Yarrowia lipolytica: one gene and its partner. Each later gene encodes a partner of the first gene's protein in a complex. Links are inferred from orthologs where the notes say so. Each region holds a gene or a part of one and is shown on either strand. Other genes may lie near its edges. The genes, in order: YALI1_F32167g and YALI1_B04937g.

Region 1 (6,224 bases):
GGCTGTCCTGGCGGTAGAACGTCTCTAGCTCAATTGGGAGCTGACGACACACCTTCGTCGATTGATGAGTTTGGGGAGATGCTGGGCGAGTTGCAGAAACATTATAGCACCTCTGCGGTCCGGATCTTCCCAAATGTGGACCCAGTGAAAAAGTACGAGGAACTCATGAGTGTATACGTCACTCCCTCGACTGACACATCTGATCGGGGCAATCCTCTTCTTGGAAAGTACCTCATAGAGTATCGCATCAAGACTGAGCGTATGTGTCGTCGGTTGGCAGCTACGCTCTGCTACCTGACGTGTAGCGTACGTCGCTCCAAAGAAGACAGAGGAAAGGAAAAGGACGTTCCGGTGCATATTACAAAGATGTTGGATGACTGGGTGATAGGTGCGCCTCCCAAAACCAACTACGATGATTGGGTCGAATTTGGAACGCGCAAGAATAAGCGTAAGGCCCCTACTCAGCAGGAGCTGCTTTCCCAGATTGTTGCCAGCAGAAACACGATTCCCACACTGTCTCTATCGAGCCAGGCTCCTTCGCAGCGAGCATCTTTGGCTCCGTCCAGCTCCCATCGCTCGTCGCTAGCTCGTGTTGCCTCTCAGGACACGAGAAGACAATCTGCTGGCCCCTCCGGTTCACAGGGCGGGTCTCAGAAGCGTTCCAAGCGAAGAAAGACTCTTGGAGGTTTCCGCTAGTATCTGTTTACTGTTCCTGTTTACTTGTATAATTATTGCATTTCAAAAATGGAGCGACGAGATAAGTAATCGTAGCTACTTAAAATGAGATTGAGACATGACTCGAGGACACGAATCCAAGTACAGTACGCATATTCTAAGGGTACGAGTTACAGTAAGTGTCGGTTCGTATCTGTTCAGGATCAACAAAAAATGGCGACGTCCGCAGGATTCGAACCTACGCGGGGAAACCCCAAGAGATTTCTAATCTCTCGCCTTAACCGCTCGGCCAGGATGCCTGAAAAATCTTCCGATTTTTGAAAACGTTAGGCAAACATTGTGCTTTCTGCTTAGTCACGAATCATTAGAAAAGAAAAAAAACGTTTGATTTTTGTAATTAGAATAAAAAAAAATGGCGTTCGATTTTGGTGTTAAGGAGTTTCTACGCCCTTGCTGTAGTTAGGAATGAATATCGGGCACTTACACGTGTAAAATGTACTGTATATTTCTTGTCACACACAATTGTGTAAGTACTTGTCGCGTGAGTTAGACATCCTATACAACTCCAAATCAAGATGTGGTAAACAAGCACAACATCCAACACCTGCCCACAGGCCCCTGGTTAAATAAAAATAAAAAGTAAAGAAGAAGCTCCACAGGGGCTCCAAAAACAACGCCCCATCGATCTTCATCGTCAAATGATTTTTTTCTTCTTCTCCTTTTCTGTTTTTTTTCCTCAAGCTTCAGGAGAACAGCTCTGAGCCCATCATACAGCAGTGATGCGATACTTTCCATGCCATTTAGTAAAGAACAATAGAACACACACTTGCCACTTGGTAAGACGTTCTGAAAATCAACTAGGAATTTTGTTTATTCTAGTGAAACACGGTTTTTTATTTTTATTCTAATGATTCATTACAGATTCATTACAGTACAGTAATCACGTGACCCGAACCACTTTTGGAATAAGAAACGGACCCGAATCTGGCACATTTCGGGCAACCTGGCCGAGCGGTCTAAGGCGCCAGGTTAAGGCTAACACCTTAACGAATATCCTGGTCTCTTCGGAGGCGAGAGTTCGAATCTCTCGGTTGTCATTTTTTGCTGCAATGGAACCGACTACTTGTAATGTGTAGCCATTGTTTTTGGTAACAGAACGCACCTATAATCAGTACTTCAACTACTTACGAGTAGCTTTCGCGGCGAATTAAAGTGTAACACTCAAAACTCTAACCGTTGCTGGGACAACAGGTCCCAAACACGAAACACGCTTAACGTTCTTTTTCTAAACCACACCTCTCAACACCTAAATGAAAGTCGAAGAGCTCGTAATCGACGGCTTCAAGTCGTACGCCACGCGTACAGTCATCTCCGGATGGGACCCGCAGTTCAACTGTATCACCGGTCTCAACGGTAGTGGCAAGTCCAACATTCTGGACGCCATTTGTTTCGTGCTAGGTATCACGACCATGGCTACTGTTCGAGCTCAGAACCTCCAGGATCTCATCTACAAGCGAGGACAGGCCGGTGTGACCAAGGCAAGTGTCACCATTGTTTTCGACAACTCAGATACCGCCACTAGTCCTATCGGGTTCGAGAAGTACGCCCAGATCTCGGTGACCCGTCAGATTGTGCTTGGAGGCACGAGCAAGTACCTGATCAACGGTCACCGAGCGCAGCAGCAGACGGTACAGCATTTGTTCCAATCGGTCCAGCTCAATATCAACAATCCCAACTTTCTGATCATGCAGGGTCGAATCACCAAAGTACTGAACATGAAGCCTGCCGAGGTGCTGGCTCTCATCGAGGAGGCCGCTGGAACTCGAATGTACGAGGATCGAAAGGAGAAGGCTCTCAAGACTATGGCGAAGAAGGATGCCCGGCGCCAGGAAAGTGCATTGCTTTTGGAGGAGGAAATTAAGCCCAAGTTGGATAAGCTGCGACAGGAAAAGAAGTCGTTCCTCGAGTACCAACACACCCAGTCCGACCTCGAGCGGGCTATCAAGCTCATTGTGGCACATGACTACATCATGTTGACCCAGGGTGCTCAGGAGATGACCGCCGCTATTGAAGCGATTGTTGCCGAGAAGGAAGCAAAGGCCCTAGCAGTGGAGCAGAACACACACGAGATGGGCGTGCTCGAGCAGGACATTGCCGAGGTCAAGGCTCGTCAGGCAGCCGAGGCGTCTAAAGATACGAATGTTTCTGTTCTTCAAAAGCAGGCCAAGGCTGCCTCCCATGAAGTGGTGCGTCTCAACACTACAATCGACCTGAAACGGTCCCAGCTTACCGAGGAAGAAGATTCACTAGCCAGTCTTGAGGCTACTGATCGAACCGAGGAGCTCCAGAAGCGCCAGGCCGAAGTTGACGCTAGCCAGAGAGAACTGGACGCTCAAACACAGCGTCTTGACTCCATGACCAAGGCTCTCGAGTCCAAGCGTGAACTGCTACAGTCGCTTCAGACCGGTATCGCATCTTCGGCCGGTAAGGAGTCTGGCTACCAGCGCCAACTTGCTGAGGCACGTGAACAGGCCAATGATTCTCGTGTGGCAATTGATCGTGCTCAGATGCGAATCTCACATCTGACAGAGGCTCTCAAAAGAGACGCTCCCAAGGTCGCCAAGGCTGAGAGCCAGAACCAGAGCGTGCTCGACAAGCTGGCTGGTCTGCGAGAAGCCAAAGGAGCTCTGGAAGCTGAAGTGGAGCGTCTTATGGCTGTTCCCGGAGCCGACGAGGACTGGACCGGAAAGGAGCGCGAGTGCATGTCGCGAATCGATGCTCTTTCTGCTCGAATTGACTCCGAGAAGCGTCAAGCGTCGTTCTCCGAGTTCACCTACGCTCGTCCTCATGCCAACTTCTCTGCTTCATCCGTCAAGGGTTTCGTGGCCGAACTGCTGACCATTGGAGATGAGAACATGGACAAGTGCATTGCTCTGCAGGTTGCTGCTGGAGGCAAGCTGTTCAACGTTGTTGTTGACAATGAGATCACCGGTAAGGAGCTGCTACAGCGGGGCCGACTCAAGCGACGAGTCACCATGATTCCTCTGAATAAAATTGCTGCCGAAGGTCTAATTTCTGCGGAGCGACTCGCCGTGGCCCAGCAGGTGGCCCCCGGCCGGGTTGGACGTGCCCTAGAGCTAGTTGGATACTCCGATGAGGTTGCTAAGGCCATGGCTTATGTTTTTGGCGGCACTCTTGTGTGTGTAGATACCGAGACCGCAAAGAAGTGTGCTTACCATCCCCAGATTCGTGCTCATTGTGTGACTCTGGAGGGAGATCACTACTCGCCTGAGGGTACCCTTTCTGGAGGCTCTCAGCAGCGAAGTGGAGATCTTCTCAAGAAGTTGACGAGCATCAACAACCTTACACAGGAGCTGGAGGAGGCTCGATACGATCTCAGCAACATCCAGAAGTCCATGGCTCAGTTTTCCAAAGTTATCTCTGAGCGACGACAGCTTGAAAACCAGCTTTCAATTCGGGAGCACGAGATCAAGACCGGCGAGAAGCAACTGGAGTCTTCTTCCAGTGCTTCTGTTCTGCGAAAGAAGCAGGAACAGGAGGCCGAGCTTCATGAGCTCCAGGAGTCCCTTCCCACGCTCAACCAGAAGCTTGAAGACGCCATTGCTCTGATTGGAACTATCGAGAGAGACATGGCTGACTTTGGAAAGAACAAGGGCAGTAAGCTTGAGGAGCTGGCTGCTTCTGTCGAAGAAATGGCTGCTGAAGTAGCTCAGCACCGGTCTGTTGTTGACGAGGCCTCAGCTGCCCATGAGGACATCCAGGTTTCTCTCGAGCAGTTTATGTCCGACATTACTGGTATGAAAGACGAGGCCGAGGCTTTAAAAGAGGCAATTCAGGCTACCCGAGGCGGCCTTGCTCAACTGGAGACTCAGCAGGACGAGGCCCGTGCTCTGGAGGCTTCTCTGACCCAGCAGGTTGAGGAGATGATGGCTGCTCTGCATGGCATGGACGAGGAGCGACGATCTTTGGAGGCTACTCTTCAACAGAAACGAGACTTCCATGCCGATGCTCTTGTCGCTGCAAAGGAGGCTGAGCATCTTCATACCCGTAAGATGAAGGAGCTGGAAGATGCTTCTAAGGGCGCCACTGCCATGGAGGCCAAGTACAACTGGGTCGCTGCTGACGCTCACCTGTTTGGCAAGCCCGGATCTCATTATGACTACGAGAGTGTGGACATCAAGCAGGTGCGACGGGCCGCTGGCCAGTTGGAGGAGCGAATCAAGGGTCTCGGACACAAGGTCAACGACAAGGTCATGAACATGATTGACAACGTTGAGAAGAAGGAAGCGACTCTACGAGGTATGATCAAGACCATCGAGAAGGACAAGGTCAAGATTGAGCAGACCATTGTGTCTTTGAACGAGTACAAATGCAAGGCTCTGACCAAGACGTGGAAGAAGGTGAGCGAGGACTTTGGTCAGATCTTCGCGACTCTGTTGCCTGGCTCCTTCGCCAAGCTGGTACTTCTGGAGGGCAAGGAGATTACCGAGGGTCTGGAAATCAAGGTCATGCTGGGTAAGATTTGGAAGGAGTCTCTGGCGGAGCTTTCTGGAGGTCAGCGATCTCTAGTTGCTCTGTCGTTGATTCTGGCTCTGCTCCAGTTCAAGCCTGCTCCTATGTACATTCTTGATGAGGTTGATGCTGCTTTGGATTTGAACCACACTCAGAACATTGGTCATCTGATCAAGACGCGATTCAAGGGCTCGCAGTTCATTGTTGTGTCGCTTAAAGAGGGATTCTTCAGCAACGCCAACCGAGTCTTCAAGGCTCGATTCCAGGAGGGCTCGTCGTCCGTCATTGCCATGTAGGATTTATGTGGGTTGTATTTTAATGTATTTATATGTATTCGAGTGTCTACCATGCTGTACAGTACATACACTCATATAAGTGCTAATGCTGAGCATCACGAATGAAAAATGATACAGGACCCAGTACCTACAGAGAGGCTGTACCATTAATTTCATTTTGATACATGAGACCTACAACGGAGTAGCGAACACTTATGTACGAAGATGTTATCTCGCAACACACCCAAAGCTCTAGACTCAATGCAATTGGAATTAGTCAGGTCTTAGTGTCTCACAGTCTACTTGGTTTCCTACTGGCTGGTGTGTGTCTCTTAGGTTTAACGGCGGTGAGGAAAGAGAAGCCAGACAAGAGTGAGACAGGAAGAAGTGTACAGTATATACTGTACATATTGTTGTTTGAAACGTGTATAAGAAACGTGTACTGGGACACGTGTAATTAGTAAATAGCCTTGAGACATGGTCCTGGTAGTTAGAGGCACATCACTGCTATGTGTGGCAACAGGCTCACTCCGGCAACTGGTGTTTACCCACAGTCGAAAAAGTTTTCTCCGGGTGAAAAATACTCTATGCCACTGCTTCTTTGTTTGGCTCGCTGCCATGTGCTACATGGACTTATCAGATGATGCTCGTTTACCGGACTATCTATTTTGATCATCGCGATAATGTAAGGTGAGTTATACGGAGAGAAACGGGGGAGGTGGTGACTCCAACCGACTATTG
Region 2 (4,861 bases), on another chromosome or scaffold:
TCGGTGTGTGCCATGATCTGAGGCACGAATCGGACCTTATTGAGGCAGTCGGAGCTGCACTCGTCAAGAGAAGCATGAGGGCAGAGCTCAATGTGGGTCTTCATGGGCGAGAGCTGAGCCTTGGCTAGAGACAGGAGGAATACGGCTGAGGGCTCGTTGACGAGCTGCTTGATTTCGTTCTCAAACGTGAACATGGTGCTGGAGGCCAAAGGTTCGTCCAGCAGCTCGGCAAGGTGGGATCTGGAGACCTTGGCGTTCCAGGTGGGCGAGCTTACCATGGTAGTACAGCTAGAGGCCGAGCCGGTGAGAGAAGAAGACCCAACGCTGGAGAAGCTGGTGTGGGTCTTGAGAGTGAAAATAGGTGAATGATCAAAAACGTCTGGGCTCAGAGCAATCTTCTCGAGGTCGAGAGGAGCAGTAGGGGTCCGGGTAGGGGCCAGGCCGGCAGGAGCAGCGTCCACGGGGGTCACTGGCTTGACAGCAGGCATAGTGAGCCGCTGGAGAAAGCCGGAGAGAACCGGAACAGAAAGATGGTCAATGATAGTCTGGTTCTCCTGGGTGGAGCGAGCCAGGTGGAGGCCAATGGGGATGAGGGAGGCGAGATGACGGAGACTGTCGACGAACTCGGCCAGGGTGGGAAGGTCGTCGTGAATGTCCTGGAGCGCGACCGGATCCACTGCGGAGGCAAGAAGAAGGCGGAGCTTGAAGGATCTCAGCGGAAGCATACACACCACATTGTCTGGGCACTGGGCCAGCAGCACAAGCGTGGGTAGGAACTGCATCTGGAGTCGTGGGATGAGGTGGGTGTGGGATTATGTGTCTGTGTCTGTGGCAGAGATGTGACTGACCAAGACTGAGTCACAATGTGTGATAGAAGCACCGTAACGCTGTTTCTGTGGGCCACTAGGTCGATGTAGTGGGCGTGAGAAGAAAGGATGTGTGTCTGTGCTAGTCTGAGTAAGAATGCTGAGAAACAAGTCTGTGTGTGTTTGTGTCTGTATCTGAGTCTGTGTCTGCAATATCGGCTATACAGACAGGTCAAGAAGAGGCCAAGTGTGCGTGTGTGCGTGTGTGTGTGAATCCAGAGCTGACTAGATAAAGGAGAAGGAACCGGAAGAAGGGGGTTTATATGTGAAGACACACAGTCATTCCCTCTATTATACGCGGCGAGTGGGTGGAGAGGTCAACTCTATCTTGTCACTCTGTTTGAGTGGTGGAGTGCACTTTCAGGGCTCTTGATCTAGAGGGCGCTCGCGTAGAATCATAACATGATGGGTATCATTGGAAAGCCATTCTCGACAGGTCGTCACACATGGTAGGAATGACCGCATCGACAGCCATAAAACGTCGCATTTTGGAGATATCCAGTTCGCCGACCATCTCTTTTCACCTTGCCTTTGCATATCCCGATTCAGTCTCCCCAGTTCCAATATCTCAAGGCTGTGCGTTTTTCCTCTTTATTGAACGTTTTTCCTCTTTGCTGAATGCCCAATGTGGCACAACTGGACTAGCCCTAGTCACATTGTCAATTGGGGAACAAGCCGAAATTCTCATTGCCCCACCTTTCTCTCAACCGCTTTTGGTATCACGAAATTTCATAGTCCTTGGGCTACGCGGTTCCTTCTATCCATCACCACTGATGAACTGTGAAGCGAGTCCCGACGACCCAGACCACTCCCATATTGACCTCCAAACTCAATCTCCAGAACCGCGTGCGTACATCCAACTGGGGTAACAGGCGGCGCTATTGATGGGTCAGCCACTGAACGATGGGTTAAATGTACCGGTACAGGTTAGGGCATTGGAATGTATGCGGTGGTTCAAGGCGATTCGAACTGTCTAGAATATGGCCTTCGAACAGCTGGTAATACACTTGTAGTCGTGCTTGTATTACTACCTACGCCATCAGATTTCGCACCGCCCCCAAATACGGAAGCTTCGGGTTAGGGTTATTTTACGCGGTTGCCAGGACAACGGCACACAACAACGCGTGAAGGCTATTTTGTAAATATACAGAATATACAGAAACCTCTTTACACTTTTCGATCCGTCAACACGACTAACTAAACATTCAGATAAACGAAAATGGCAAGACCAGCTCGACGACGGTCTTCCGGACGGTTTCTCCAACAGGGCGAATCCGAGCCTTCTCTGCAAAAACTGGTCCATATGAACGACGACGCTGCCGAGAAGCAGAAGCGACGACAGTCCAAGCGTCTCAGTATTCTTCCTGGAGCTGTTTCGCTCGGTTCTCCTGGCGCCAATGCTGGTGAGGACGTTGACGAGGGCCTTAGAGATCATCTGAACAATGCTGCTCCCCAAGTTCCCATCATGGCCAACTTTGAGGAGTGGATGAAGATGGTGAACGACAACAAGATCAATGCGCAGAATTCGTGGAATTTCGCGCTCATTGACTACTTTCATGACATGTCGCTGCTTAAGGAGGGCGACGGAATCAACTTCCAACGTGCTTCCGTCACTCTGGACGGTTGTATGAAGATTTACTCGTCTCGTATTGACTCCGCAGCCACCGAGACTGGTCGATTGTTGACTGGACTGGCTACTAAGCAAGGACGAGAGGATATCGGTAATGAAGACGACGAGGAGGAAGGGCAGGAGGGTGAGGAAGGGGAGGGAGGAGAGAAGAAGAAAAAAACCGTTCGTCCTCGAGGAGTTACTCTGGCTAAGAGCTTTGAGGAGAATGCTGCTAAGAAGCTTGAGCTCGAACTCTCTATCGATCCTCTTTTCAAGAAGATGTGTGCCGATTTCGATGAGGGAGGCGCCAAGGGCATGCTGATGAACTCTCTGGGCATCGACAAGAATGGTCGCGTGGTTTTCGATGGAGATTTCGACCAGGAGATTAGTAAGGGAGATTTTGCCGACCTTAGCGAAGACGAAGACATGGAGGATGATAGTGCCGACAGCTTTTCTCTGCAGCAGCTGGGGGCGAAGTTTTTCCCCGACCTGTCTATTCTGGCAACAAAGTCCGTCTGTCCTTCTGCAGCTATGATCGAGGCTGCTCTCAAGGACCCTAGTAATCTTCCCGAGGGTCTGCAAGTCGACAATCTCGATGACCGACCTTCCATGCCAGAGCTCGACTACGGAGGAGACGAAGACATTCTGGACGATGCCGCTCTTGGAGATATTGGTTTTGACGACCTTGGAGCAGGAGGCGATGACGATGGACCTGGAGGTCCCGTGGAGGATTTCGAGTTTGGATACAACCCCATGAACGAGCAGTATGCCGAGATTGCTCAGGATGTGGCTATTCCAGGCGGGGTGGGTCCCTCTGACCCTCGATACAAGCCCACCATTAACGAGGCTGATCTTCTGGCGTACTTTGATCACACCTTGAAGAAGAACTGGGCCGGCCCTGAGCACTGGAAGGTCCAAAAGCTGCGGGGAGATATTCAGAAGAAGGCCATTGAAAGCAGAGATAATGTTGGAGAAGATGGAGAGGAAGGAGAAGAAGGCGAGAAGGCTGACAAGACAAAGAAGAAGGCCGCTCCTGTCGAAGTTGACTTCATTTCCGAAGATAACGATATTGACGAGGCTGTGCTGTTTGGTCGACCAGCACACATGTCTACTCTGTCGCTCACCAAGGCCCAGCAGCGATCTGATACCAACAACCTGCTCCCTAACGACGAGCACTTCTCCACCGACAATCTTGTCAAGCTGTTCATCAAGCCCGGCAAGCGAATCACCGGTCTACTGTTCAAGCATCGAGTCACTCTCCAGAGCGAAAAGGACGCCGACCAACATTTCTGGGCTCAGCATTTCAACGAGGAGCTGGCAGAATACGGTGTTCAGGGCCCTGAACCTGAACCTGTTGATATACCTGGCCAGAACGACGATGGAGATGATTTCGGCGGCTATGACGACTTTGACGACTATGGAGGAGCTACAGATATGGGTGGGCCTCACAATGCGTCGTTCCTGGGCCTGCCCAAGGCTCATCCAGAGTACGTTTCGTACGCCAAGGTGGCCAAGCGAGTGGATGTTCGTAAATTGAAGGACAACCTTTGGAGAGTCATGGATTATGAAAAGGTGGACGAGTTGGTGGACAATGGCGACATGGTTGAGGATGCAGCAAAGGTGGAGGAGAAGAGATTCACCCAGCTCGTGGAGCAGGTGGGAGCCGAGTACCCCCGACAACAGAAGCAGGAGATCTCCACCTCGTTTGTGTTCATCTGTCTGTTGCATCTGGCTAACGAGAAGGGTCTCAGTATCGACCAGCAGGATGATTTGGCCGACTTGGCCATCAGCAAGGATATGAATGTTCGCCTGGATCAGCTGGGAGCATAATGGGACTGAGACAGCAGTTGTGTAATTTATTGATCGTATATAATAATGAGTGTACAATATGATGAGTGATGAGAGCGTTTGTAGAGTGAAGGGCGGTAAACCGTTTTGGCAAGGGGTTGGGTGATCTTGGAGTTTTGTCTGTAAGTTCCATATGATGCCATGAAAAGCAAAAACACATCTATATAATATCCTCGAGTGACCTATTTCATCGTGTAAACCACATCTTCTACCTAATTATCAATAATATACATTTTCCCCGATTTTATTTGATTTTTTTTGTGAGCGTATCCAAATGTCGGGATGTTTTATTCTATTTAATATTCTATTTTAGATTCTATTTTTAGTTCTGGTCACGTGATCAAAATTTTCGAGTGTGATGGGAACGATTTCTAAAATTTCAACAAAATGCCTGGCTAGCTCAATCGGTAGAGCGTGAGACTCTTATTCCAAGGTCATCTCAAGGCTGTGGGTTCAAGCCCCACGTCGGGCTCTCTTTTTTGGGTGGTATTTGCGTGTACAAGTACAAGTAGTAGGCTACCACCGTGAGTTGCGTCTA

The links.
Region 2: YALI1_F32167g (region 1) and YALI1_B04937g share a complex: the UniProt entries of both Schizosaccharomyces pombe proteins name them as parts of the condensin complex. The link is inferred for Yarrowia lipolytica from reciprocal best matches to the Schizosaccharomyces pombe genes cut14 and cnd2.

What each region holds. Positions count from the first base shown.
Region 1 is NC_090775.1:3,212,546-3,218,769, reverse strand, and holds YALI1_F32167g (uncharacterized protein), read left to right. Parts: upstream 1-1,985; coding exon 1,986-5,504; downstream 5,505-6,224. Other genes in the region: YALI1_F32204g (uncharacterized protein), read left to right, coding at 1-696. UniProt on the Schizosaccharomyces pombe protein: Central component of the condensin complex, a complex required for conversion of interphase chromatin into mitotic-like condense chromosomes.
Region 2 is NC_090771.1:490,947-495,807, reverse strand, and holds YALI1_B04937g (uncharacterized protein), read left to right. Parts: upstream 1-2,085; coding exon 2,086-4,305; downstream 4,306-4,861. Other genes in the region: YALI1_B04950g (uncharacterized protein), read right to left, coding at 1-782; YALI1_B04947g (uncharacterized protein), read left to right, coding at 936-1,053, 1,096-1,244. UniProt on the Schizosaccharomyces pombe protein: Regulatory subunit of the condensin complex, a complex required for conversion of interphase chromatin into mitotic-like condense chromosomes.